4 linked regions of the Struthio camelus genome follow. The main gene of each other region encodes a partner of the protein of the gene in region 4 in a complex. Links are inferred from orthologs where the notes say so. Each region holds a gene or a part of one and is shown on either strand. Other genes may lie near its edges.

Evidence for each region.
Region 1: the proteins of NRIP1 (region 4) and PPARG are in contact, whole or in part, in a crystal structure (PDB 9CWN), measured with the Homo sapiens proteins. The link is inferred for Struthio camelus from reciprocal best matches to the Homo sapiens genes NRIP1 and PPARG. Residues at the interface, in NP_001426204.1 of Homo sapiens: Ser130, Thr131, Leu132, Leu133, Ala134, Leu136, Leu137, Ser139; in NP_056953.2 of Homo sapiens: Val321, Gln322, Thr325, Lys329, Phe334, Leu339, Gln342, Val343, Leu346, Lys347, Pro495, Leu496, Glu499, Ile500, Lys502.
Region 2: the proteins of NRIP1 (region 4) and ESRRG are in contact, whole or in part, in a crystal structure (PDB 2GPP), measured with the Homo sapiens proteins. The link is inferred for Struthio camelus from reciprocal best matches to the Homo sapiens genes NRIP1 and ESRRG. Residues at the interface, in NP_001426204.1 of Homo sapiens: Ser378, Leu379, Leu380, Leu381, Leu383, Leu384, Lys385, Ser386, Gln387; in NP_001429.2 of Homo sapiens: Val277, Ile280, Lys284, Phe289, Leu294, Gln297, Met298, Leu301, Gln302, Lys448, Leu449, Glu452, Met453.
Region 3: the proteins of NRIP1 (region 4) and RORA are in contact, whole or in part, in a crystal structure (PDB 4S15), measured with the Homo sapiens proteins. The link is inferred for Struthio camelus from reciprocal best matches to the Homo sapiens genes NRIP1 and RORA. Residues at the interface, in NP_001426204.1 of Homo sapiens: Thr499, Leu500, Leu501, Gln502, Leu504, Leu505, His507; in NP_599023.1 of Homo sapiens: Gln332, Val335, Lys339, Phe344, Met345, Gln349, Gln352, Ile353, Leu356, Pro505, Leu506, Glu509, Leu510.

The regions. Positions count from the first base shown.
Region 1 is NC_090955.1:20,125,114-20,132,485, forward strand, and holds the start of PPARG (peroxisome proliferator-activated receptor gamma), read right to left. Parts: upstream 3,007-7,372; 5' UTR 2,920-3,006; coding exon 2,793-2,919; intron 2,785-2,792; exon of another isoform or gene 2,618-2,784; intron 2,456-2,617; exon of another isoform or gene 2,310-2,455; intron 1,625-2,309; exon of another isoform or gene 1,326-1,624; coding exon of another isoform or gene 1,295-1,325; intron 1-1,294. UniProt on the Homo sapiens protein: Nuclear receptor that binds peroxisome proliferators such as hypolipidemic drugs and fatty acids.
Region 2 is NC_090944.1:116,100,301-116,107,963, forward strand, and holds the start of ESRRG (estrogen-related receptor gamma), read right to left. Parts: upstream 3,008-7,663; coding exon 2,775-3,007; intron 2,398-2,774; exon of another isoform or gene 2,133-2,397; coding exon of another isoform or gene 2,065-2,132; intron 1-2,064. UniProt on the Homo sapiens protein: Orphan receptor that acts as a transcription activator in the absence of bound ligand. Binds specifically to an estrogen response element and activates reporter genes controlled by estrogen response elements.
Region 3 is NC_090953.1:20,321,111-20,328,484, forward strand, and holds the start of RORA (nuclear receptor ROR-alpha), read right to left. Parts: upstream 3,009-7,374; 5' UTR 1,863-3,008; intron 1-1,862. UniProt on the Homo sapiens protein: Nuclear receptor that binds DNA as a monomer to ROR response elements (RORE) containing a single core motif half-site 5'-AGGTCA-3' preceded by a short A-T-rich sequence.
Region 4 is NC_090942.1:112,855,380-112,862,522, forward strand, and holds the start of NRIP1 (nuclear receptor-interacting protein 1), read right to left. Parts: upstream 3,017-7,143; 5' UTR 2,916-3,016; intron 1-2,915. UniProt on the Homo sapiens protein: Modulates transcriptional activation by steroid receptors such as NR3C1, NR3C2 and ESR1. Also modulates transcriptional repression by nuclear hormone receptors.

The sequences.
Region 1 (7,372 bases), on a different chromosome or scaffold from region 4:
CACGGAGAATTTATAATTGTATTTTAATTTCTCTTGAGTAGCTGTGCTGCAAACTGTTTTAATGTATGCCAGAACAGAATATAGGAATAAACCTTGCGACAAAAACTAGTAAAAGAAACTCAGATTCTGAGTATCAAATACTCACAACTAATGATTCGCAATTGGACTAGGGAAAAAAAAAAGAGACTGGTAAATATAGTCAATGCAATTTTGAACAGATTAAGGGTCAAAATTAGGAGGCGGCCTCAGAAATCAAGATGAAAATATCATTAAGTACACTTTTCATTATGAATTTTAGTCCAGCCTTGTACATAATAGTTTTCTTTCTACTTTTATTCTTTTTCCTGTTTTTACAATATAACTTTTTGTAAAATTCACTTTATTAGCCATTGCTAAAAGTAAACATTTATATCGACATATAAACTGAGGCCTAGCTTCAGTTATTTATTGATTTAGAAATGTATGGCTATTTCCAAAACTTGATGGAAAAGAGTAAGATTTAGAAGAAATGTTCATAGTGGGTGTTTTTATCAGTCTCATAAGGAAAATTAAAAGCCATAACTTAATTCTAACGTTTTGCCACTTTCATTTTTTGTGATTTTTATAATACGAAATATAAACTTATATCAGAGGAGGAGAATTCTTTATGCACTGACCATACTGTAACGACGTTTCATTGAACATTGACATTTAATAAATTGTAATATCCAGTAATTTGACAATGAGGCACCGCTAAGAAGCGCATACTATCTTAAGGCAGTTTACAGAGATATGATCTGTGAATCCCTAACAGTTAATGAGGTATTTTACAAAACTGATGCCCCAGAATATTCAAATTCAAAAGCTGCCTGCGTAGAAATACCTTTAAAATATATTCTGACTGGTTACCATGTAAAAATTCATGTCAACTATTTTTCCTACTCTCTCTCCCCTTGACAAGTCTATGTCTATGTTGTACCACAAGCCTTAACACACTGCTATGAGTGATTTTTTATAATCTGATAATTAAATCTCTAAGCAATGTTTGCAGTGACTTTTAGTGACAGCCAGGGAGAATAAGAATGCCAAACACCACTTCACACAGCAAATTCTGATATCAATGAGCGCACAACACACGAAACGTGTTTACAAAGGACAGCACTGAACACCTTATGTCATACATAGTTACTTGGTGTACACAGGGAATTTTTAGTTAACTAGTAACAAATCATAGTAACCTTTTAAAAGTTAAATTACTGATTAAATTGTGGACTAATTGCTACCAGAAGAATATTTTTTATTTTTGGATACTCACTATTAAATGGACCGTCACAGCCATGTTCCATGGCAAAAGCTCTTTTAGAGATGGGGCAGTAGGTCGCAAAGACAACGCCAGCCCAGACCCTCAATTATTTCAAGGACAGTTATGATTGATCCTTCTGATTTAAGGGAACCTAAATTTAGAGTCCACCGCACATGGAGAAACTGACACTTTCCTGAGCTTTTCATCAGGCTCAATGTTGGTCTTACGTCACTACATTATTAATAAATACATCACTGTTAACTCAGCATTGTATTGTCGTGTGTACACAGTGCCACAGAGTTACAACACGGCAGGAACTTGCGCTCTGAGTTGTAGAACACCCTGGAGAGAAATGACACCAGGAAGATTACCAAACGCTCCCGCAAACCCGAGGCGCGCCGTCAAGACCTAACACATTTCAACACCACATCTCGGCTGCTGCGGGCTCAGAAAGGCTCCCCGATTTTCTGCGGTTGAGAAATCGGGGCGGGGCGGGGCGGGGTGGGGGGGAAAGGAAGAAGAAGAAGAAGTCTCTTCATTCATGAGGGCAGCAGGCAGGTGAGCACCGCTCCATCCCCGGCGGCCAACGGGCACGGCTGCCGCCAGCTCCGCGGGGCAGGCGTCGCCCCTCTGGCCGCTCCGCACGCTCCTCACGCCACCAAACGACCGCCGCTGCCCCCCCAGCCAGCCCCAGCCCCAGCCCCAGCCCCAGCCCCGCCGCCTATACAGCACCATGGACACGGTGCCGGCCCGGCTGCCGCCTCGGCGGGCGGGGAGGCGGGGGGGGGGGGAGAGGGCGGCCGCCCGCCCCGCGGAGGTGCCCGGCGGGCGCTGCCCACCTGCCGCCCCAGCGAGGGTCCCCGCCGCGCCGCCAACCCGCCGCTTCGCCCCCTCCGCCTCGGCGAGAGCCCGCCGGCCGGCCGGCCGCATCGCCCGCGCCGGGGCACGGCCCCCGCCCCGGCTGCCCGCCGGGACGCCGCGCACCCCGCCGCCCCGCCCGGCCCGGCCCGGCCCCGCCGCCCCTCACCTCAGCGGGAAGGTCCGCCGCAGCCCGCACCGACCTGGCGCTGTCAAGTCTCAGCGGGAGAAACTGTTCCCTTCCAGTGGGATAAACTCCCCCGCTCGGCCCGTCCTACCGACCAGGCGCCGCCTCCCCCCCGGCGGGGCGCCGCCTACCCCGCCGGCCCACGCGGCCCGGGCCGAGGGGCGAGCCGCCGCCCGCCGTCGCGCGCTCGGGGCGCCGCGCTGCGCGGGGCTGTGCTGCGCGGGGCTGGCGCTGGCGCTGGCGCTCGCGCCGCGACCGTTGGCGGGGTCTGGCGGGGGGAGGGGCGGCGCGGCGCTGAGGGACGGGGGAAGGCGAGGACGCGCAGAGGGAGCGGGTCGCTGAGGAGGAGGAGGAGGAGGAGGTGCTGCCGCCGCCTCTCCTTCCTCTCGCCTTTAGCCCGCGTCCATGCACTGGAGCCGGTGCCCTGCGGGCTCGTGCCCGCTCAGCGGGATCACAAGTGCGTACCTGAGGGCAGACCGCGGCCCCTGCAGTGGATCTGGAATTTGATCTCTGCTCTCTCTAATCTCCTCCGCTGTGTAACTGAAAATTCAGTTTTTCCGGCTGCTAACTGCTTTCTCTTTTGCGTTTCCATTCTCCTCCAGCTAACTCCTCTCTGCGCTGCGTGCCGTTGGTCCTGTCTCCTCGCGTCAGTCTGTGTCCCACTGACAGGAATACAGGCTTTTCTGAAAACAGGCTTAGCAGTAACAGAGGTAAATGAAATTCCTTCCCCCCCCCACACACTTTTTTTTGGCTACAGGTTGTCATCCCCCCCCCCCCCCCCACGGAGGAATGCAGAGAGATGTGGTACAGGCTCTTCTCAGTAGGTCTCGAGAGAGAGCAAGTTCAAACAAGTATGTCACCTCCTCCTGTTTCACCCTCAGACTCTTTTAAAAAGAAGTTAGATGTGGAAAAAAAAAAAAGTCACAAGATCAGCAGCGTTTAGAGAGTCGTCCTGTAAGTCAAGATGCCCCAGGATACAACAGTTTATCTTTAAAAACCCTTGATCTCTTGGACATCGTTAGAGGATTCAGAGGATCCTAAGTTTGCCTCATTACGGTTCTTAGTCATCAGGCATTTTGAAAGGGAGTCTACATTTGCTATATTATTTGTACACTGAAGGCAATTTATAGATTAGGGTTGAATGCCTCAAAATATCTGGTCTACATATAGATACTAACATGGCCTACAGCTTTTTGTTTATGAGAATAGTCTTTCTGTCTGTAGAGGCTTGAAGCCTTGTGTTAATTTTTAATGAGAATTATCTATTTGTATAGGCTTGAGGTGGGTGTTAACTTCTGCCTTGACATATCAAGGAACTTTTTTCATTTACGCTTTTCTCTCCATCTGAACTTTTTGCTGTAGAAATGTGGAAATCTTTTGTTTGTAAGGTTTTTGTTTTTCTTTTGGACTTTCTTTTTAAAATACTGCGGTAATACCTATTCAGTAATCCCCTGATTCTGTATTGGGGGCCAGGTACTGAAAACAAGTAAAACAAAACCTTAGAATTGGCTCAAGATGCCATGGGTGAATAAATAGGCAAATGTAGGTAAAAATAATATAGCAATAAAAGAGGTTGAAATATAGAAATTAATAATATTTCTAGCCATTTTACAGCAGTATCTCATGTAAAGTTTCAGTAGAATATTAAAATAAGAAGGATCTTAGCTGGATATCTCCACGGAGAGTTCAGAATTAGCTCTGTTGCAAACAGAAAAAAACGCTGCTCTCATAGCAAACAGCCGGACAAAGAACACTGGAGGATCTCGCCATTTCATTTAAGTGTCTGAAGGATAGAAGAACCCTTCTGAAACTCTAGACTTTAACGTGCTCCAGGAAACTGGGAGCGCTCCAGAAATTGGGAGGCATTATTGCACATCTGATTGTGGCTGTATATACTCATAGCTTTGAGTTTAAACTTTTAATAAAAGTTCATAAGCAAAGCAGAAAAACAAAGCAAACTTTAGATTTCTAATTAAATGGCATAGGTGAAATAAGGGACACATCTGACTTTTCAGAGAAGCCGCCCAAACAGAGCTTTCAGGAAAAGTATTACAAACATTATATAATTTTGTTTCTGTTATATACATTATATTATTTTAACAAGTTCATCCCTTGGACAGAACTTGTGAAATATTTTAGATTATTATGTTCAAATTATTTAGGTTTTGTAAATATGTATTTTAACAGATTGGGGCAAGAAGGGAAAAGAAATTACTTAGTCTGATTTCCTGCCTAACGCAGAACATAGATTTTCACATAGTATTTGGTTAATACTATTAAATGTATCAGTTAGAAAGGCAGCTAATCTTGGTTTGAAGAATCAAGAGATGAAGAATCCATGAACTTTCTTTGGTACTTGCGCTCTCCCTTAAAAATAGGCCTTATTTATAATTTGAATTAATCTGCCTTGCTTTATCAAGTGTTTTTCACTTGCAGCACGTGGAAAGCCAATCATTTTATATTAAAACATAAATCAAGTAGGCTACAAATATATTCTATAATTAATTCTAGAATTTCTTTTTACATTAATGAAATGGTCATGATAAATTACTTCATCAATTTCTTGTACACCTTTTGTTTGTATCATGTGACTGCACAGTTTTGGGTTGCGGGGTCTTTCTCCTCTACTACCTCAGTGAATTCCTAAGTTTTAGTGGGCTATTTAAACATTCTTAAATAAGAACGAAACATTAGGCTCAGGCCTTTCTGAACCATGGGCAATGCTCCCCTAAGTTCAAAGAGAAGCAGGAAAGGGCTCTCAGCATCAGTTCTACTTTTAAAATTAGAGGATAACTTGTCTTTACAAAGAGATCAGTTATACTTTGTTTTTGTAGTGCATATAGAAGCTTTAGATTTCTTTTCATGTAAGAGAACTGCATTTTATATTATTATTAATCATTCTTTCAGTTTTTGTGGTAAGTCTCTTTTCAAGAGTTTGATGCTTCTGAAAGGGAAATCTTAATTCTGTGCTGAGTATGAATTCTTTTTAATCATTAAGAAAATCTTAAGCAGATTAAAGTGAATCATATGGCAAGAGTAGTCCCACTGAAATGAGTAAGAGTTCTTTGTGGAGGCTCAGAATGGATAAGGGTGTTAGTCTGGCTCTAATTGCCTCTCTTATATATACATTTTTATTTTACTTTTCTATTTCAATGAAAGAACTGTTGTGCAACAGGTTCTAAGCTACGCCAGGTAGGGTTTATGGCTTGATTTTAGGTTAGAACAATGACTGTAATAAAGAGATCTTATGATACTGTGATTTCTACGATTGGCTTGAAAAGGATAGAAATCTTGTAAGGACACAGAAATGAGAGATTTATACCTCTTCCTCTCTCTGCAAATATACTAGTTACAACTTTTACTTAATTATTTTGATGCTTCCATTGTGGCTATGCTTTAAGTCTCTAGGTGCATTACAGAAGTTTGAAATCACAAATCACGCAGTGTATCCCATCTCTGTATTCTGCAAAAAATGAAAAATCATCTAGCCAAACTTTTTAACATCTGGAGGGCAATCTCATATGCTAGCAGTGTAACTATAAGTCTAGCAGTTAAAAGAACAGTTCTAGTTGTGGAAATTGCATTGTTTTGAGGCAAAGGAGTTTAAGTATGCTAAGAAACTTGTGCTGCTGCCTTTTTTACAGTTACAGTGTCTACTTTCTCTTGGGTTATGTAATTTCTGAATTAATATCTGCTGTTCGTTTATTAGTAGCAAGAACTTTTTATTAGCATGTCAGTCTGTTGGCAGTTTTTTGATTGTTGGGGAGATATGTTTGTAAAAGGGATTTCATAATATTCTGCCTCACTCCAATTTTCATGTTGCCCATACATACACTTTTATTTGAAGGAAATGAGAGGTTTAAATTGCCATCAGTGGCGTTTTATATAGATATATGTGGCAAAGTCTATAGTGTAAGACGCATTCTTTAAGTGATAGTAGGGGACTATCCCTTGGTACGATTCCGGGCTCTCTTTGCAGTTTGCACTACAGTATTGTTATGTTTCATCTTGCATGCTGTGCCTTGTATCCAGCAAAGGTGATAGGACTAGGCGTAATGCAGGTTTGTCATAGATAACTTTAGAGCGGATCAAAACAGGAACCTTTTTAGTTAAAAGTGATCCTACTTTTCTTGAACTATGAGTCTTAGATAAAAAGAACTCAGAATCCAAATTCATGACTGCTTTAAATTCTATAAAGCCAAGATCACAGCAGCCTGCCTAACTCTAATTATAATGGTTTATTCTTTATCTTTGGTCTTTCCCCAACTCTTGGCTTCTCTGATTTCTTTTCCTCTTGAAGAGGATAACTTTCTAGAGCTGTCTGGTTCTTCTGTGATAGGCCGTTATCTTCATAGTCTAGTCCCGTTCCGATCAGATAGGTCCAGACTGCATCTCACGTACACAGAATGAAGACAAAAAGACATAAAGGAATGAAGGGCTCAAGCATATACTGTTATCCATCAGATTTGTTAATATATAAGATATTCATTTCTCAAGAAGTCACTTTAAAGCATCCAGAAATTTCTGATACTTTTATGTTGATTCTCATTTAAAACCATTTTATCCTAATTTGTTGGGTGATTAAATTAAGAAATATTTATGAATGTAACTTATTCAGCCTTAGAAATTCAGTTTTCTACAAAATTGTATACATGTAGACATCTTAAATTAGTAGGTGATGCAATTAAGATTTAGAGTTGTGCTAATATAAGATGGGAAGGGGGTGGCTAGTCTTGTGGTTAAAGCATGGGACTAGCTGCTGAGAGGTCTAAGTTCTATTCCTGGTTGTGTCACTGACTTCCTGTGGGTCACTGGGCTAAGTCATTAGCTGTGTCTCATTTTCCTCATATATAAAATGCAAATAACACTTGTATAACTGAAACGCCGTGAGCCTGAAGTCAGTAGTGTTTATATCAGTGTTTTCTGCTCATAAATGGACTTTGTATATAACCATATCGGGAGATCTAAACCTGTATTCCTAATTAGCTTTCATGTATTTGCCGTCTTTCTCACACAGGCAATTCATTGATTCCAGTGAAAACTCC
Region 2 (7,663 bases), on a different chromosome or scaffold from region 4:
AAGTTATGCCAAAATATTTCATAGAAGAATGGAACTGACATAAAATATTTTATATTTAACATATATTCACCCCCCACATATTTGTGTATGTCCTGATATGCGTGAGTATGCATATGATCCTCATGCTCATCCACATGCATGCATATCCCACACAGACTCGCACAATAACTCCACAGACCATTCTCATATTGCAACATGAGAAGCGTTAGAAAAATACAAGATACGTACACTGACCATCATCGCACTGGATTATTTACAGTGACTCTGGACGACGTCCACTTTTTAAAACGTTACATCCGTTCTACACACTCTTTAGTTTTTGTCATTTGTGTATTTTATCTCTTCCGCTACAAAATAAAAATCCATGCATGCTATAACAGCTAAATTTCTTTTATGCTTAAACTCTGTTGAACGTTTTTGAATGGATAAAGTAGAGAAACTGCTGAGGGTTCAAATTAATGAAACACAGGGAGCTACAAAGGGCAAATGTACACAGTGCACCGAAGCGATCTGGAGTTACAAATCTACCCAGTTTTCTATGTTTGGCATTCAGAGATCATATTTAAATTTACTAAACTAGTCCTCCCCTTCCCCCCCCCTTTTTGGAGTGTTTCAATTGCCTTTCCTTCTTCCAACAGCTGTGACAACTGTTAAAACAGTCAGTAAAATTAAGTCCGCTCTATAATCCTTTAGTCAACGTTACATTTTAATCAGAGGTTGAAGGAGATTTCATGTTATGAGCACACTGATTCATTTAGAATGATTAAATTGACACATATGTCAAATTGAGCAGACATATTTATTGCATCTGTTGGTGTTAGTTTATTAACTATTAGTAATTATCAGTGTTATTACTGAAAAAGCAAAAAGTCAATGCTGCAGCTGGCTTTAAGTTATTGCATTCTTTAACATGCTCTGCCTTAAAATCAAAGCATACCTAGTGATGGTCAGACAGATGTCTGTGCACTCCCAAAATGTTCCGACAATTTTTAGCTTAGATCCTCTCTGCCTTCATCTACAACGTGAGAACTGCAGAAAGCGTCTACTATTTATTTTGTGTGCCCTTACACTTGTATGTGGACACACAAGCAACAACATATAGTCAAGAGAGAATTACTATGAATATTAATAACATGTAAAAACTCTGAGGCTTACTAATTGAAACAGAAACAGAGAAGCAGACGTTTCTGAGCATTAGTTTTTTGTGTATGTGTGTCCATGCAACCACGTATTCCTGAAACCCTGAGTTGGGGCAATATACCGGGATTGTTTTAAGATGACTTTTAATTGAGCCAAAGAAGAGGAAAAAAACTAGTTTGAATCTTGCACCAGAGCCAAAAAGACATGTGCCCCGATTTCATTGAAATGCATCTACTCTAAGAGGCTTATCTAAACTAATCATTCAAATTAGCTGTAAGAAGGTAAATTCAAGAAAGCTTGGGGGTGGGGGGAGAACAACCAGAAAATAAAACTTACTCTTTGTGTATTTTATAAAGAAAACTTCTGATACCAGTAAAAGCTGTGGAAACTGCGTTCTTAAATTTATGAAGCTATCTTACGCCATAAGGCAGCGCACAGTGCACTGACCTATAAACCACACCAGAGTGGGCATCTTACCTTTTGTTTATTTTATTTATCCCAGAACATTACAGTGGATTTTGCTGCCTCCTGTTCCCAGACTGCTTGCTCCTATGAGCAAGTCTATTTGTTACTGTTTGTCTTACTTCCTGTATTATTTCACCAGTACATAATCACTGCAATTCACTTTTCATCTCTGTCTTAATTACAAATAGCAATGCAATACACAGACGCTAAGGACAGCTAGTGGGCATCTACCTATAATACAGTGTCACCTCTCAACACAGCCTTTCCACACACTGCGTCTCGGGCGATGCTTGCTATTAGCTTGTTTTTTCTTCGGTATCACCGGCGCTGCTAGTGCAACACGAAGGCACAGCTACCTAAGTGGCTCGACATAAAGAAAAATGAATCGGTGACAGCTCCCATGATATACTAATATTTAATCCTGGCTGCAGGCTGAAATCAAGTTTACGAGCCACTCACCAGCCCCAGACCGCCTGATTTTGTTTGGGCTCCGCGATTCCCATCCGAGACACCCCACGTAGGCGCATCCATCCGCACGCACCACGGGGCGGCTAGCAAGTGCCGGCGAGCAACTGCGGCTCGTTCAAAAAGTATTTCGCCGTCGTCGGCAGGGCAGAGGCCGCCGCCGAAGGGCACGGAGCGGCCGCACGCCACCAGTCCCCTACAGAAGTACCAAAACACCCCGCACCCTTCTCCGATTTTCCTGCGGGGCTGCTGCCCCGGCGGAGCGGCCGGTACCTCAGGGCCGCGCGGCGGCGGGCCGCTCCCCACCAACCGTCACCCCGCCGCCGTTGGGGGGGGGGGGAGGCGCCGGGGGCGCGCGCGGGGTCCCTCCCCTCGCCGCCGCCAGGCAGCCGGGGAGCCCGCACACCTGTCCGGGCGCGGGGCAGGCGGGCAGCACCGCTCCTCCCCGCCCGGAGGGAGCACCCCGCGGGCGGGCGGGCGGGCGGGCAGGCGGGCGCCTCCTGCCTGCCTGCCTGCCCGCCCGCCCGCCCGGCGCGGAGCCGCCGCGCAGCTGCCCCGGGCCGGCGCAGGCGACGGCTCGCGCGCACCGAGACGGCCCGGCGTTACCTGCAGCGGCGTTTTACGCGTTTGCCGTGTGCGGGGGAGGGGGGCGGGGGGGGGGCAGGCGGCGGCCGGCGGGGTGGGGGGCGGGGAGCGGTACCTACTCTTCCTCGTAGTGCAGGGAGAGCGGCTCCGGCAGGCAAAGTTCTACCGAATCCATGTGCGCCCGGCGACCATTCTTCGCGCGCCCCCGCCGCAAGCCAAAGTTTCCGTGGCCGAGCGCCGCGCCGCGCCACGCAGGTGCGCTCCGGGTGACAAGCCGGCGGGCACGGCCAGTGGGGACCAAAAGCTCGCCCGCGCGCCTAATCAAGGACTTAAAGCCCCGCTCGGCGCTCATGAATATGAAGCAGGGCTTTACATATGCAGTCCCCCCGGCCCGGCGGGGCGGCCGATTGGTGGGGCGGCGGCCAATCAGGCGCCAGGGGCGCCGGGGCGGCACGGCGCGCGGCCCGCGCGGCAGGTAGAGGGTGGGGACAGGGGAGCGGCCTGAGGCGGCGGCGGCCGTTGGGGCCGAGCCCGCAGACGTGTCAGCGCGCGGCCGGCCCGCGAGGGGCCACGGCGGCGCCGGCCTCCCCTGCCGCGGCGCGGGAGGCCGGCTCGAACTTAAAGCACACTTGGCCAGGTACCTTGCCAGGAAGAAATAACACGCAGCCTCTCACTTAATGCGGGGAAGAAATCCGCCTAAGGTAGAGAACGAAGTTTGTGCTGCCGTTATCTGTTGGTGCGTCGCGCTGTGGCGGTTGGGGGCTCGGGCTCTCGGTGCGGCAGGGCTTTGCTTTGGACAGGCGCTCCTCACCCCGCTTCTCCTAACCTCCGGAGTCGCTCGGCACCTGCCATCAAACGTAGTGTGCCGAAGCGCCTGCTAACTCAACTTCTCATTGCCACCCGAGTTACGGCTTGTGGGGGGAAGGAAGGGGGGGAGAGGGAGGTGTTGCTGGGATTTTTTATATTTTTTATATACATATATATATATACACACATACACATACACACACACACACACACACATATAGTGAAAATCTGATTTTGTACCTACAAGAAAAATGTACATACAAAACAAAACTGGCACTCAGCCGCGTTTCCTAACAGCATGGGTGCGACTGGGAGTGTATGCAGGAATGTGCCTTCCTATCCAGGTTAGATACGTGTTAACATGGCCGTATTTAACATGTATCCCCATATACAAATATTTAGGTGTTTGGATGTAAATATTTAGATCTAGTAGACAGCAGGAAAAGCTCCAGAACTGATCAATTTCTTCTGCAAGTGTGGAGGGATTATAGTGGACTAACTCAGTCTGTTTCATTTTAACAAGATAAGGACCGCATTGTAGAGGGTCTGCATTGTTAAACCTCAGAATGCACACAGACCTCTACTATGTTTTGGGGGGCGGGGGGGTTGTTTTCTGTAAAGTAAATTTCACCAAACTGAAAGGGAAGTAAACACATGCCTGCAAACACATCACCAGCCACGATTCCAGCAAACCACTAGCTTTTGTAACTCACAGTTGCTTGGCCCTGTCATAATGAAAGGTCTCTGATTAGACTTGTTTTGAGAAAACGATCATACAACAAAATCAGAGACGCTGTTCTCACTGAACTCTGCCCCCACACACATTTTAAAAGGATCAGTATTTAATTGAGAGCACAATATTTTTCTCTCAAAAACTACTATTTTTACTTAATATTACAACTAAAACACTACTATTTGCTAGTTACAAAGTGTTTTTATTCCTGCCTCTCCCAGGAAATAGATACAGGCTGTTTCTGGCAATAAAAACAAAAAAAAACACAGCAGAAAGCCCATGATTTTTCATAATTCAGCTCAACTGCTCACAAAATCTTTTGTGACTGGAGCCCTACATGATGCAAATGGCAATCTTTTAGATCAAAACAAATCAGTGCACACCCTCAGACTGCATTAATACCACTCACAAATGGGAACACAAATGCCTTCTCCAAATCCATCTCACAGTTTTTTACCAAATAAATAAAACAACAGAACCCAAGTGCAAAATATGTTAGTGCACTGGACATGTTTGTATCTGTTTACGGCAGAGAGATTCCAGTGTTATGTACTTAACCTGATGTAAAGACTGGGCCTGCTTCTTACAAATGCAGTAAATATACGTGCAAGTTTTTAGCGATCAGAACTCACACAGCAAAACTACGTCTCTGACTACTGTATAAAAGCAGGTAGTAAAAGCTTAATTACAGTAGCATTATGCTGTCTATATTGTTAAATGTGAACTCTGTAATTAAGATGTAAATTCGCTTTTGAGCAGTGAATTAAAGAGCTCTGAAATGTAGAGTAAAATCCAAGCACTGAAGAAACATCACAGACAAAAAAGGGTGGGTTTTTTTTTAATCAAATTTTAAAATGAGAAGCATTTAATCATGTTACAATACTAGAACATCCTCTTTAAGAAGCAGTTTGATAAATGCAGATTTTGGAACCAAATCAGCACTTGAATATGATGTGTTTATTTTATCTATAGATTTCTTTATTATTGTATAAACCCAAAGCACAGATCCTACAAATCGGTTTACATGTGCACATTAGCAAACCATGCAAAATACAAATATATTGTTTGTACTGAGTGTCTGTGTGTGTGTCCATTTATAGATTTATATTCAAAGTTGCTATTTTTCAGTATTTGTATGCTAAAATTTCTTCAAATCTTTTCATGTGTATGTACTTTCTTATTTAAAATCACCTGCCATCAATCCCTATACACAAGTAATTTGATAAAAGTCACTTTAAAGTATTAAGTTCACTGGAATACACCCTCATTAAAATATGACTTATTAATCCATTTTAAAAAACACAAAGCATGGGTTAGCTTATTTTTACTTTTGTTCATTATCTTCCAAGATTGTGTATTTATATTAGGTGCTGAAACATGATAACCTCTTTCCTTCTGTCACGGTATGTCTTCCAGTATGCTCTCCTTTTCACGTTCACACACTTTCCACTACCTCGTTGGCTTCTCCCCCCACTCTCCCTCTACACCTCCAAATCCATTTTTCCTCTCACCCTATTAACCATCACTACCTTTCTATCAACCATCTTTCATCCAAGCAGGCAGCTGGCTTCTCTGCCAGTGCTGCTCCTTGGACAACCAGAAATACAGTGCTATACTTTACATGTTGATAAACAAAGCAGTTGGCTTCTTCCCCTAGGACTGAAAGTGTCACCTCCACCAGACTGGGGCCTGCAATTCCAACTACGTTCTTGAACTTGGGTTTCACAGTTACCAATCAGTTGGTGGGGGGAGATAAAAAGAATACTGCAGCAAATAAACTGGGGCTACGCGTAACTTCATTGTCTCAAGATTCTCTGTACCGCTTTAGAAAGAAATAAAAACAGTAGTTGGAAAAAAAAAAAGCAGACGTCAGTTTACTGAATTTTATCGGAAGCTACAGAAGAAGAACACGCATGCAAACACACATCTTATCAAAATCTACAATGCAAAATCTTACCACAAGGAGTCTATACAAAACAGTGGTAATGGAATCAGAGAGGGGAAGGGGGAAAACTGCCATGAGTGTCTGCACTAGTCAATGGGCATTACTGAGCAGCATCTATATCTCCATGTCTTGCTGTGCATATGATTATTCCTGTGTACAGAACAGTACATCTTTAAGCGCCTTCACACTTAAATTCTATAGACATTTTGAGGCATCCAAACAGCCAGATTCTTAAAACACAACCACCTCAAGGCAACTGAAGAAGTAAGATTCAGTGGCACTTTGCAGAAGCAGCACAGTATATTGTGTCAAGCATGTATTTACCAAAAAGAGCAACAAACTAAAGTCATCTATGTAGGCGCAAAAATATAAATAATTCTATTACCTGCTGAGAATTTATTTGAAAATAAGTATACTGTTACTTTAGATGGAAATTTTCTATATACCTTGCTACCTTTTTCAAAATTTAGCTGTGGAATATCATATTTTAACAGTTTGAAAGAAATTTCCAAGTATCATCAAATAAGTGATTTTCTCTTTTTTTCAAAACCACTGAGTAAAGAAACACAACTCAAACGTGCTGTGCTGCAGTAACATCAAGTAACATCAACGTTAGAACAACACTGTCACTGTCTGCTTGTGTTAAGACGCGCTTGGCTTTTGTGCTCCTTACTCGAAGGTAATTGGGGCATCCCTGGATACACTGCTAATGCCTTAAAAAAAAAAACCTAATGCTATAAAAGTTCCAAATTCTGCTCACCTGTTTGTACGCAGTTGGGCAAACTATAGCAGGTTATTACTTTAAAACCATCTGCTACTTCAATCTGTATTTAGCATTAATTACTCCTTATTCTGATCTTAGGGAAACAAGCTCACACAGCACCATCTCAGAGCGCTCTTTAGAACTTTTCCACAGCGCATTCACAAATGCACAAAGTAACGCTTTTAGATTTTGCTTCTTACACCCAGTTACAGCATATTAAAAAAAAGCATCCGTGAAGTAACTCAATCACCTTACCATGTTTCCAAGCTACATTCAGTTCATCCAGTCTCAAAAAAATACTCCATATTTTCTGCTCATTTTATTTTCAAGGGCATGGGCATTGATATTTAAAAGATTGCCTTCACTGGTACAGTACAGAAACTGTTCACATTGCTGTAAATGAAAATTATTCTCTTGACAAAATGTCTTTTCCAAAGCCTTTGACAAAACCCAAAAAGTGAAGAAAAAAAAAGGGGGGGGGGGGGACAAAGAAAGGGGAGAGAGAGGAAAAAAAAAAAAAAAGCAAGTTGCACAGACACTGCCTGTCACCCTCCAAAAAAAGGTCTTACTCCCTAAAGATAATTCGGGCATGTACTTCAATACTGATAGCTCACTGTTACACCCCAAGCTCTTTTTTTAGTGCAAGTTTCTTCAGAGGAGCTGAAGTGCATTACTGTCTCAGACAGCCAAGGATAAGATGACTGAGGGAATTCAGTTGCTCTGTTTAATTAATACAGGATTATTTCACTTTCATTTTGTG
Region 3 (7,374 bases), on a different chromosome or scaffold from region 4:
TAGGAATCTGCTCTGCTGAGGCCCTTTTTTCCCCGTTTTGTTTTGTTTCCCTTGCTTTGGATAGGACGCTAAAGTACCATTTTGGCCTCTCCAGCACATTTCCTGGGCACAGAAAAGGTCTTCCTCGTTCTTTGGTCTTTTATTTCTCGCTTCCAACCCATACCAAAATGGCTCATTAACTTTGTTCACTTAGCTTGTTTAAACTGGTGAGATGCCATTAGCAGCAACGATAGGTATGCTGAGGAAGTTGAGGACAAATGTTTGGTTAGATTAAAAAGTGCTCTAGAAATTGCTGCAGATGTTACCTTGAACAGTGTGCCAGAAATCATCCTATCAGAAATAATACAGAACACAAAGGGAAACATATTGCCAAATATTTTGTGTTCATTTTTTTGATTCCATGTAGATACAAAAAACAGTTTAATCTTTTTAAATAAAAATGTATCCTTTCATATATGATAATTGGAAATATTTCCACAGAGCAAGAAAAAAAAAAAATCTATGAACCCTGAAGCAACACAAATCTTTTTGCACGATTCCGCAGCAGGCAAGGTATAAAATTATGCGGATGCTTTTTCAGAGCACTGACACAATGACAGAGAAAGTGGCAGAAATGCTATACGGCATGCAGCCATCACACACCACAGCAAGCACGCTGCTGTGTGGGACAAGTACAAGGTGCACAGAGCACACACTAAGGAAGAAAATCATAGTTCATCAGATAACATAGAACAGCACCGTTTTGCCTTAGTGTTTATGGCCCATTAATATGGGAGCACGTTTTGAATTTGAGAGGTAGAGAATAACGGTCTTCTACTACATACTAATACAACCAGTGAAGTACCTCACTTGAAAAGGATGCGCCAAAGTACCCTCCCCACCCAGGAAGTACATCGTTAGCCCATATTCCCTTCCGTGGACTCAGTGGACGACAGTCCGCTCTGGCCACAGTAAGTACGTGTCAAAGGGGAATGTTAAACCTTCCTAGAAAGTTTTATTAGCTCCAGTCTAGCAGCTGTGGAGATCATGTTGCTGCAGAGCTGAACAAACAGGAGGGCAAAGTCTGGATAACATGGCAGAGGAACCAGCGAGATATTTTGATGCTGGTGGCATCTCCTGTCTTAGGTGTTCCCTTATGACGTTGCCCCGGATCCTTCCCACTACCAACTCCTCCTCTTGTGCAACAAGTTGCCAAGGCTAAGGCACATTTGCCTCCAATGGACACGCTCCCCTGGCTGTGGTTTTGATGGCTTTGCAGGAAGAGAAGAGAGAGCAAGATGTCACAGGCTGACGGAAAGCAACGGACATTCCAAAGAGCAAATTTCAGACTCATGCAAGTAGTGGGACATCCACTGGCTCTTCAGATGAGTCAGTTCCTCTGGAGTCACCTGGTGAAATTCAGATGTACTCATCTTTACAGACAAATCTTAAAAGAAGAACTTAAATTATATGTACCTATTCTTTGTAGCCATATGCTGTGGCATATCTTTTAATGATTGACAAAACCCTAATGGTTTGGCTAATTAAATTTTGCAGTAGGACAAGATGTGGCTTCCGTAAGTTATGCGCCCCACTAAGCTCCAGCAAAGCTGTATACTACATGTATAGAAGCTGAACTAATTACTGAATCTGAAAATTGGCAGTAATTAAATTAACTGTTATTTTAGCAGAAATTTATCCCATTCTAGATGAAAACAAAACACAAGATAATACAGGAGAAATGAGACGACTGTGGTGGAACTCTGAACTATGAGCACTTAACACTGTTTGTTAAGCCACTGTTCCCACTTCCCTCTCCTGCCATTTGGGTCCATTCCTTACTGAATTTTCTGTTTCTGAAAGAAACTGAAGCTTGCACTTACCTATACAGCACTATGTGCACAATCACATCCCCTGATGCAAAGGGTAAGCAATAGCGCAGGCCAGTTCTTAGGAACTCGATACCTTTTGTGAGTGAATTAAGGCAAAAGGCCCAGAGATATCTGTCTTTCTCAATCCGTTTTCTTTTGCAGCTGTTTTCCTGCAGTTAGTTAAAAACAATTACTGAATATTTGCCGTTAGCAAGATGAACACCTTTCTCTCATTCCATACCCTTGCAGACAACCTCTTCCTCCCACAAAGGTAAGGTAAGCTAATTGAATTAGAGGAGCAATTCCGCCTGCCCATACTCTCTGCAGAGCTGAAGGGAAACATGGAAGAGAAAAATCTGATCCAAAGATACATTTTTAATCTCAGGAACATGGAAGCTCTTTTAGTGAAGATCAGCAAGTGAGACACCATTTCCAAACGTCTTGGATCACTCCCACTCCAAAATGTGGGTGGTTGTTTTTTAATTAAATCTTGTTTCTGTACCTTATCCTTAATTGGATTTTTACTGAATAGCTGTTCCCTAAAACGCAGTGTTTGTCATATGATTCAAATAGTCCATCCTTTATATCAGATTGATAATTCATACTTTTTGTGCAAAAACCGTTTTTCTCTAGAAGTAATAGTAGGTTGCAAGCAGTTTCAAAGCAAGGAGAAAAAATAGCTGCTCGCTAAGAAAAAAATGTTATTACAATTATCTACATGATCATTGTTCATATTCCTTCATACAGATCCATCATTGCCCCCTGGATTCTGTCAGTAGCCCCTTTGAAATACCCTACCTGAAAGAACCATTCTAAGATATTTGGCTCACTGGCAAGATCTTATAGTATTAGGGAGTCTAACCGCACTTGGGAAGCTCATTTTCACTCAAAATCGCCACGGAAATTTGCACTAACCAAGCAAAAGCGTGTCAGATAAAAGTTCATTGTTCCAAATCATAGCTGAAAAGGGAAGCAACAAGTTACCTTGTACAGGAACATGTAATTAAAATGTTACTTTTCAGAAACTGTATCATGCAAATACAGGAGGGCAGAGTTAAGGCTAAAACATATATTTGCATTTTTGCATGAATTTAGAACATGACTCCATAATATTCTTTGTGATCAATCTGCACTTTTCCTAAGTATCTGGAAATAAAGATGATTAAAAAGAAATACCTACATATCTGACATCTGTGAATGGCATACCCAAACTGACAGTACCCCCAGTGAAGCATTCACACAAATCTACTATACCACTGCCACACTTAAGCTTTTAAGAGTCATGATGCTAAACGGTAGTGCACTTTGTCATTAACTCACAGTGACTTCCAACGCAGTACCTCCAGAAAGGTAGGAAACTAAGACAGAAAATATCTGCCTTTTCCTCCTCCACTATAGCCCAGCCACCAAAGGAAACGCTCCCAGCAGCGCGTGGTAAGCTCTCTGGGGTATCCGATTGCAGCGGTAAGGAGCGGTGCCTGCACAGCTTCTGCTTTCCCTCTTCTTTCCACAGGTTGCATAACTTTGTATTCTAGCTAGCTTAGAACTATAAAAATTGCCTTCATTGAACAGGTACCAAAAAATTACATTAACCATCCGTTTCTTCAAGCAACCCAAGTTCACAGCAGAGACATTAGGGCTTAGATGAGCATTAAAACTGAATTATGTCAGAAAGGCAGAAGTGAAAGCTTCAATTTAATTTAATGTAATTATTCAGCTTTTACATAATTTGAAGCTTCATTTGATTTATTTAAGCATGGTAGCTAGTAAAATATTTTTATTTGAAATAAAAAGAGAAAGCCACCTACTGTGTGCAAAGGTCAACTAGCGTGGCCAGCATTACTGAAAATATATACTCTTCCATCTCCTTTAACTCCTTGAGAACTTAACAGTCCACAATACAATACCATTCCTGGCGCAAAGAGCATTAAGTATGAGGAACAGTAACCCTTTCATTTGGCTTGGAGATGATCATATTTATTTTCTCTACTGTGGTGCCAGAGTGATGCAACTTGTCTTCATTATCCGAATGATTATTAGGTTATTTTTGCTCCACTTTCACACACAGCCGATGCTGCCTACTATATGCAATCAGATCTTGTTACAAAACTCTCAAAGGTTGTTAAGAAACGTTTTGAGAGACAGAGGAGAGGATCTGAACAGCAAATTCTGCATGTACCAACAATCTGAAAGACTTCCTGACAGTCTAGGATAAAACTATTCAAGTTATTACATATATAAGATTCAGCAGCCGCCTCTTCTTCTACAGTGGTAAGTCCAGAATGATACATGCTTTTATACACGCTGAAAGGATGAGTATGAAACTTCAGGTATTGTGCTGAAAAAGTCCTTGGAAGAGGAGTATCACATAGTGAATATATAAATTCCAGTGTGTTGACGGCAAAAAGGTATAGTAAGAAGGAAAAGATCTGTTTTTTCCTGAGTCTGGACACGAATGAGGGAAGAGCACAGAACTACTGAACTCACAGAACTGACGGTTATAATAGCCAAAAATAAAAAAGTTTGGGTTGTTGTTAGTTTGGATTTTTGTGTGCCTTACAGAAATATGAAGGCAGCTTTAGAGGAGCTATGGTCTCTTCGGCCCTGCTGAAAAATAAGCTGGAAAAAGTAATTTTTATCAAAAAAAATGTTTAAATTGACCTTAAATTAAAAGGTCATCCGTTTTCTACCCTGATTTTTATTTAACTTGTTAAAAATTAAGTTTATATATCCTTCAAAGTAAAATGCTATCTAAAATGAAAAATAGTTCATTTTTGTACTTTTATACAAAATAAAAGACAAATGCCAAAGTTTTACATGTTTTCCAGTTTCTTCTTCAGCTGAATAAATAGATCACAAAATAGAATTCTTTCAATTGACCCTAGTATGGATTTTTTTAGCCCAAAAAAATGTTACTCCGTTTCCGTTTAGGATACGATAGAGCTACTGACAGCTCTTTGGTAGCCTCTGTACAATCAGTGTGGTGGTTCTCACACAGTTTCAATTACAGAAGTACACGAATAACGTAAAACAGGCTACTCAGTAACAACATCAAGAGAGGCTCTCAATATATCTGAAACTAGGAGACTTAACTATCCTCACGGCTATCTGCATATCAACATGAAAAAGCTAGGTCTTCCTAGACTTAAGATGGCTTTTAGTCAGGACCCAGGATCTGGGACAAACGTTGTTAGGCCTATGTCCGTGTTAGGCCATAAGAAGCTCTTCCAAAACAAGGAATTAAACCACAGGCAAGCTGTTTTCATATGTCATTTTGGCCGAATGGGCTGCTTGTGCCACGGCTACCTGTACGCTCCCCTAGGCAGAGGGAACTCAACGAGCAGCAGCTGGCTACAGCAACGCTCCTGAATACAAACGCACCTTCAGTCTCTCAAAACGACAAGACCGTCCAACAAATCGACAAACGACAAAAATAAAGAACCTTTCAGAGAATAACTTTCAAAACCTTTACCAATTTCAAATCGAAGATAAGGCCCAAGGGAAGAAGCACACATCGACAAACTCAGTTCTCTATGTAAAGTCAAGGGAGAAAATTAAAAATAAGGCATCTAGTCTAACGAAAAATGATTTCGGGAGTGGACTTTTTTAGTATTACAATTGTTTGCTTGCAACCAACGTTAATTTTAAATAAATTGGACAACGTTGTTAGCCAAATAACTACCTTCAGCTCATTTGCCAAAGGATTCTGGCTACATCTTGAATTAGGTAAATTAAATATAAAAATATCATGTTGTCTCCTTTAGCCTTCATTACTCTCATTCAAAGCACTCAGCCAGAGGAACAGTAAATTTCACTGCCAGACTAAGTAAGCCTGCCAGTGGAGGATTCCCACCCTCCGTTTCTGAACCTTTCCAAACACATGAACAAAATATCAACTGAGATAGGTTGGGCTTTTCCCCCTTTTTTTCTTCTAGAAAGATTCATTGCTTTTCTTTAAAATAAAGCTGCTATTTAAAAGCAAAAGCAAGCTGTGCAGAATGTCCTCACAAATGTATTTAGACATGCTACATTCTCTCATTTAGAAAAATAATTGCTTCACGAGTTTCATAGTCAAAATAGGAAGCTCTTTGCTATACAAAGTTTGTTTTCGTCCAGGTTTGAATCTTGTGACTGGGACATTTCAGGGCAGCCCACACAGGTATTTTGAAGTTTAAATAAAAGCTGACATACTCCATTGATTCTTAGAGGACTCTTCCATTTGGGCTTGTCACTTGTAACAAATTTACATTACACTTTTTCTATCCGTCTTTACTCTCTTCCATAATGCATGAGATTCTTTCTTACAATCTTTGTTACTATTTTAGAAATTTAACTACCATTTGAAAATACCATAAAGCAAGCAACTCTGGCAGAAATATCGAAGATTAAAAAAAAAAAAACTCCCCCAAAAACCATGAAGGTAAAATCTCAAGAGGTATATAGATAACATGAAAATCAATTCATTTGCTTCTATAAAATGGAATGTATTTTTGGCACAAACATCATGAATATGTTACCCTACGGGCACACCAATGAAATGTCCACAGATCTTTTCCCAGTTCTTGTTGCAGCTTCCACCATGTCTCATCTCAGTGGACCTGCCATTACTCACTCGTGGCAATCAACACACATTTTCACTGGCCACTTTTTCCTTTTCTCATCTTAGCATGAAGGCAATCATTTGCCTCCAACTTAAATAGCTTGAGCAAACAGTTAAACATTTGCAGCACTAAGTTTACCCTGATAAAATTTTATTTCTTCAAATTATCTATAAACTTTACGATATACTGATGTTTTCCTGGTACGATGAAAACCACTGCTGTGCCTCCTGTCCACTGAGACTTCCAGTTTTATAAGACCTTTATGGTAAGGTTAAATGTTTCTAAGGAACAGCAAGATCAGTGAACAATTTTCAGATGAAAAGATGTGGTTCGCTTTAAAGTTCCCTAGTAATTTTCATGTATGTTATTGAATCAAGATGAACATGAAAAAACAACATGCTTATTCTATTTAAGAATTTTGGGTTGTACGAATGTAAAGATTAAGTCATAACATAAATACTAGTTTTAAATTCTCTCTTTTTTTTTTTCTCTAGTATTGCAAACTTTTTCTGAGGGGAAAACGTTTGAAATTGGTGAGTCTGGAATTTGAGAACCAAAAAGTTATATGTTTCTAAGATGAAAGCAGCTTAAATATTTTTTATCTACTTGTTTTTCACTGTGAAATTTTAAACCTTCCCCACATTATATCTCCATCTCAGAAATGTCAAAATACAGCAAGACTGGGTGAATGAGGTCTAAATAATAAGAAACAATTATTATGGATTTTATCACAAGTGCTTCATGCCCCTCTGTTTCAAGCAGAGGAGAGGGAGGAGGAAGCATCTGATGATCTCCCAAAACGGGTGGTATTAGCTATCAGAGCAGTTCATAAACAAATCTAGGAAAGCAATTACATACCTAGCACTAAAATGCTGTTAATGCTTTTCCACCTCAAAGTCTCCTAGTTGCATTCAGGGATTTTG
Region 4 (7,143 bases):
TCAGTCAGTCTTCCAAAGGAAGTCAGTTGATACAACTGCCTGCATACGTGCCCCAATTCATTTGACTATCTTGCAAAACTTCTGAATTTCCTGGGTAATTTCAATCAAATTTTAACAAAATGGTAACAGTTATAAAAAATATTTTGTCAGATAAAGTTGTGTACATCTATAGATGGTAGGGTAGAGGAAAGATAATCGCTCTACTGAGGAGAAGTTGCCATGTTAATTTATTACATACAAGGAAACCTATGTATTAAGCAAAATCTATAGGAAGTCAGACTTTAACTTTTATTGCCTATGGCACTACTTGTTTTCTACACACATGAGGTACTTGGATAGCACAAGAACAAGGTGAACAGATAGATGCATTTTTCAAGGCATCAGCATTACCTTTTTTATGTATAGCAGTAACTGTAGAATATAGTAGTAACTGTATTGATGCAATAATTCAACACATCTGCAATGAAAGCAACTATAACTGAGGAAATAATGGAAGGGTCCAACGAGCAACCTCTATTTGGATTTCATGGCATCCAGAGGCTTTATGAATGTTTTTAATAGGGAGATTTGGCTTAGAATACATGCTTAGTGTACATATAGGATATCTCAGGGAGTGATTAAGGAATGTAAGTCAAGATGATAATAGTAGTCACATCTCTGGCCGGTGTCTAGTCTTAGTTATCAACATGTTTAGAAAAGTCTATTAAAGTTTATTCTGAGTTAAATTTCCATGAGTTAAAATGGAAGCCATGCTTTTTCATTAGGTCATTATCCTCCAAGAAAATGTTATTTTACTAGGTTTCTGAATACATTGCAAGTAGGGGAAAACAAGTAGAATCAAAGGCATTTTCAGTTTATATTTCAACCTAAGAATCAGATTTCTGGAAAAGGTCCTTAATATTACGTTATAAGTTTTTCTAGAAGGTCAGATTTCATTTTATTCTGTATACAGGTTACTGGGTAAAGAAAAAAAAATTTGACTTTCGTATTCTATCAATACTTGTATTTCCGCTGCTGAAAAAACCACCAAGCTATTTTAGCTGAAGGCAAGGTTATCTAGCCATCCTCGATTTGGGGCAATCAGCCATCAAAAAACAATTCCTGGGAGTAAACACTACAGTTAGAGACATGCAAATAAATGCTAGAGTTATAAATAATAGTGCTACACATGAAAGAAAAACAAATCAAAGGGATTTCTACATGAAGCAAATCTGTATTATGCCTCCTACTGAGTTGTTGTTATATCTTCATGTACTCTGTTTGGGGGGTTTGTTTCTTTGTTTTTTTTCTGTAAGCAAAGCCAAGCCAAGCCACATGTTCCAGCAGGGTAAATCAGGTAAAGTCATTTGTATTTCTTTTAATTTTTGGAAACAGCCTACATTCCTCTGTGTCTTACTCTCTGCTCTAGTGTACCAGCGTAATATGTCTCTCAACCCAGAGCTCAAGATGATTTAATATAATTTAGTATTAAAAAAAGACTTGTTTAGTTTTAAATTGTGTGACACAGTTGAAGATGCTGCTAAAAGATTTAGATTCTGCTAAAAGAAAAAAAAATTAAACAAACTGTTACTAAAAATCAAGTATATTTTTCATATTAATTTATGACAAGGTTGCCTTTGGCAAACGGTCAACTATAAGGCTTGAGAGGTGAAGGAGCATTAGCCTGCTAAAGGCAATGAAGGTATGTTGATCTGCACCAGTATTTGATTTGGCCAAATATTTGGAAGGGACAATTACAGCTTAGAAACAGGAGGTCTCTTGCTTAAAGGGAGGGGCCTTGTGCAAAAGTTAGAACTGAAATGCTGCTCAGACAATAAGCTTTAGTCTTCCATGAACCTCAGTGAGGATTCATTTGGAGTAACATTTGGTGCTGTGCAGGAGACTAAAGATGGCCTATTCTTCAGCCAAGTTCAGTTATATTCTCCCATATTTAGGGCTCCCATAATGCCCATGGCTCTTGCTAACTATCTATAAAAATATATCTTTAATTCCCCCTCACACATACACACACACACACACACACACACACACACACACATTTCCCCCTCCCCCCATTCTAAAAAGCTAAAAAGAGGAATTACATAGGTACAGATATTGAACCCCTGCAGCGATCATTAGTTTCCCAGGGTGTCCTGGGTATCAAAGATTAGATCCAACACATATTAGCATTAACCTCGTTGAAGTTTAGAGTCATTTCAATCTCAAGTTAAAAATCTTTAAAACATTAATTAGGAAATGTAAATATATTTGCAGATTCATACATGTCCTTCAAAAAGCATGTAATCAGTCATTTCAGTTAGTACAGCTGCACTGTCAGAAATGCAAGAGTAGATTTCCTATAGAAAAGCACCTAAAACAAAAAGAAAGGATGACAGTAACATATACACACACATTAGGAGCCCTTTTCTCCATATAAGCTCCCTATCCATTAAAACTGTAATTCATGAACAACATCAGCAACAAAATAATACTCCTTAAAATTTTGCTAGAAATTGGAATACAGAGTGGACACTGTAAAATGAAATGCAGCAGAGTAAAGAAACTCTCTGCAGTCAGGCATAGGAGCCTCATAAAAGCTACAAAGTACCATAGACTGTACTGCCGTAATTTACTTGTCCCTCACTTTCTTTTTATCCTATGCAAGCAAAAGCGGCACTGGAAATTATAGAGCAGGCAAAGCAGAGCCACACAACTTCTGAGATGTGGCAGCAGCTTCTGTACTGAATTCTTACATTACATACATTACATTAACATTTCAAGGCCTCACAGATGAGACCAAATTCAGAGAAGTATGTATATGAGAGGTATATAAAGGAAAAATAGATGAGATCAGACCATCCTAAAGCGTACCCCAACTTGTTTCCACCCACTCAGAGTATCAGGAACTATAATCTAAACTGGTGTAGGCTACATACCAAGCAGACAAAAGTAGATATGAGAAACGTATGGTTTTGAGTGGCAGATATCTATTTTATGATATTTTCTGTTGCTCTCCAGTTTCTTTTTCCCCACATCTGCTCTTCTTGGCTCTTCAGACACAACACCTGGATATTTGGGAAGACTAATTTCAAAAAATGAAAAGGAGTTACTTGTGTTTCCAAGGGTAGGGGGTAGAGGAATCACTCTTCAGATGGCATATAACTCCCAGAATTCAGAGAAAGAATTAGGACAAAATGTCAGTTATTCGTTCATAAAAAGAAAGCAAAACATTAAGACAATTACTTCCTTAGTGATATCCCCATTCGACACAGAAAAATCAAATAAATTTGCACCCCTCAGTAGAAATTCATCTACTTATACCTATTACTGTCCCAAAAATTAGCATCCAGCCTTTTAGACATACCAGCCATATACCTTTACCTGTCATTACACCCTTGCAGACCGGAAAGAAGCTGAACAAGTAAACAACGAGAATTATGGTCTTTAAACCAAAGGAATGGAACTATATTATGGTCAATAGTGAGGACAGCAGGATCCAGGTTCCCTCTCCCAAGAAGGATAAAGAGACTGACCCCAGAGCAATTTCAACCAGTGTGAAGAGCCTTATGCTTCTCAAAACCAGACTCACAGAGAGCACACAGGACAAGGGCACTTCACTGCCAGCACAGCGACTGCGCATCTGCACCTCCGAATCACAAGCCCGCATATGCCACTTCTCCTCATTGCTATACCCTGAAGTCCTCATTCAAGCCACATTGTTGTTCAAGCTAAGGGGGATTACCATTGGGGACCTATACAGCAAAGAATTGGTGATCAAGCATAATAGACAAGTCATTACCCGAACCTAATAATTCTGCAGTAGAAACAAAATGATGTTCATGTTGATTTTTTTTCTATAATCATTTCATATTGATATAGAAAAGTTAAGATACTGAAAGAGTATTACTCACAAGAGGAAATTTCTCCTGTCCATTCTACGTACATGTAATTTTTAAGGAATGAGCCAAGGGTATGGAAATGAAAACTAATGAACTCCCTGCCAAATATTATAGATTCCCTAAGTTTAACGCCCTTTTCATAATCCGCCTCTCACAAAAATCACAGTGCAGGTTCAAACCTAATTCATTAACTGCACCTCTTTAGTTAAAGACTATGCAGCATGCAGGCCTTTTGCTTATTTTTTTAATTCAAAGGCCGAGTAGGACACTTAAGGTGTTTTAATAACAGCCCTATATAATATCTACTTTTTTCCAGTGTACACAGTTTGACTGTGTTTTTTGAAGGGATAAATAGAGGTTTTTGAATTCAGTGATCGTTAGACAAGTACAGCACAGTATTTCTGGGTTTTTTTAGAGGCAATATTGACCAAAGACTATTTTCTGCATAAAGTGACTCTTGCATATAGTCATAGCCTAGCACCAATACAGTATCGCTATCCATGTCTGACAGGCAGATTTTCAAACTGCATGGATCAATTAGAAAGTCATGGGCAATAGTCAGCAGGGGAAACCTCACAGTCTGTCTAAAGAATACAGTTTTCGGCAGCCCATGCTCCATGATGTACACTCATGATCCCCCTGTAACTCAGGGAACATAACTTTACCACTTGGAGACCATACTGCATTGTGGAATTCACTCTCACTGCCCAAGACACTAAAAATTGTTTGAAATCAGGTTTGTCAGCTCCATTAAGAGAAACAGACCTTCTCTCACCATCAAGACAGACCCATAAAAGGTCTTACGTAATGCTAAATACTAATGGCCTTTGCACTGCACAAATCCCAAAAGGCAAAGCCAGCAACCCAATTACTTTTTTTTTTTTTTTAAATAAAGAAAAAGTAGCCAACAACACTTTCTAGACAATGAAACTGTAAGCGTGCTGGAAGAGAGAGAGCTCTGTGCTTTGCCACTTGCCTAACTCTCATTCCCACTTACCAGTCTTACCAGGGCTTTGCCTAATACAGCATTTTGCAGCTGCTCAAAGTGCAGATTTCCCTCCCTCCCCACGTAGTAGCTGGGAAATGCTGGGAACCAGCAGCTGTGGAGATCGATGTTGGCTAGGCTGAGCAGAAACGCTAAGGCATTTCTCATCACAATTATGCAGAACCAAATGCCGTAGCTGTTAATCAAGCATAACTCAGTGGGAGCTTTGCTCAGCTGAGTAACAGAGAGTTTGGCTCATTCTAGCTGGAGGATTAGAGCAGCACAGCAGAAGCCATTCGGTTCTCAAAACGGAGATTAGCACCCTCTCTTAGCACACGGGAAAGCACCCTTCCCCTGTCTTCACCTCTACCAGTCCCTCTAACCAGGGGACTTCAAAAGGAAGGTGCATATGAATGAGTGATACTGAAAAAGCAGGGACCAAATCACAAAGGAGCACGGGGCATTCACTTTTCCTTTCTCTTATCCCAGCTTGCATGCTTATAAACTCTCTTCTCCTCCTGCCCTCAATAGCTGGAAAACGACAGCATTTAAGTCCAATCTGAAGCATAATCCTAGCATACTTTCTAAAACCCTTGTGTAGCCTCCCAGCCATACAATGACCTGTGGTCAGTTTGTTTCCACTATTGTGATCCTTCTCCTAGGAGGCTCTGAGTGATCCGGGTAGCTAACGTCCTGAAGCCTGAGGTCTCTGCTCTTGCAAAACTCCAGTCAATGTAGAGAAACTAGTTAATAGGGGGGGGAAAAAAATAATTTACCAGTTGAAAAAAAATTAAAACTTTTTTTAAAGTTATATTCATTTGTCCAAGTGAGTGGATAAGGTGCTCAGAACAGGTGCATCCTGAGCAGGAGAGGACATCATGAGAAAGTATCCTAGGCTGGAAAGAATATACTGCAGACACAAGTGCTAACCATGCCATGGTGTGCTTTCTCTAATGTCACATTACTCTTTCTTCGGGCTCCTTGGTTACTCAAAGAATCACTTTCTCTGGAGATCCTGAAGATCTCATCCTGTGAAACAAGACAGACGGAGGTAGTAGAATTGGACCAGGCTGAGCAGGAAAGGAATAGAAAGAACTAATATTGTTGATGTTTGCAGTTACAGGCAATTATTAATTTTTTTTCCTGTTTTTGAAAATATTATAAGCCTATATCAATAATCCTCATAGAAAACTCCAGCAAAAAATATTATTTCTACTTCTTGCCACTAAGGAGTTAAGACCTAGAAACTTTCATAATCAATTTTATTTCGCAGTGAAATTCATTTCAAACCAGATCCTAATACCAGTTTTGAAACAATCTCTAATCTGTAGATTGCAGAAGGATTTTTGATCTCCATTTTAAGCTGGAGAAAATGCTTCTTCTCCCCCTCCCTCTAGCACTGGAAGGTTGCGTAACTGGCAATACATTTGCATCTATTTTATATTTACACTAACTCACTGCTTGGAACTACACTTGCATTGTTTCACGGCTTATTTATTTTCACAAACAAGTGCTGTAGAGACTTGCATTTGCGCACTTCTGTGGTCCCCCTGAATTCAAGGAGATTATTCCCAGTGTATAGAATTAAGCAGTACATAAATCTCTGCAGGATCTCAGCCAAAGAGACTGTTTCATTAGGAAACAATAATGAGACATAGCCTTGTGCTAACTCTGTGAGCCAAATTCTGTCCTCAAAGACACAGGTTTGGTTGCTTTTGGGAAGGGGGCAGTTGCCAAACACCCCTGGGATGCAAGCTGGCCGCCTGGCCAGCCACCCCATGGATGAACATAGGGTGTAATTTGGGCATGGGTCTGCTCTGGGCAGGGGAGCAGGGGCACAAGATGACCTCTGTGCCTCTCCACCTGCAGAAGGACGAGTTATATTTCACAAAGTATTTGGTGATCAGTGTGAAGACATGGTGGCACTCTGGAGGCAATATAAATGCATTTTTGGCCTGGCACTCCAGCTAAACTTAATTCACTTCGGTCTCTCCTCCTTCCATTGTCTTCCAAGGCCCTCATTGCAATGGGGATCACATCATAGGAACGTATCTATATAGGTTTAGGAAGCACGTGCAACTTTTTATAATAAAAGGAATAATAGATAGCTTACATTATTCATAACGTAACTGATTTCATTTGCATTATGCTTTACTTTCCAGATTTTTAAACAAGGACATCCTAATAGAACTGTACAGGCAAATTTCTTCTGAGATTCATGCTCTAGAACAAAAATAAATGTCTTCCACAGAAATAGTTATTAAAATGAACATTACACAT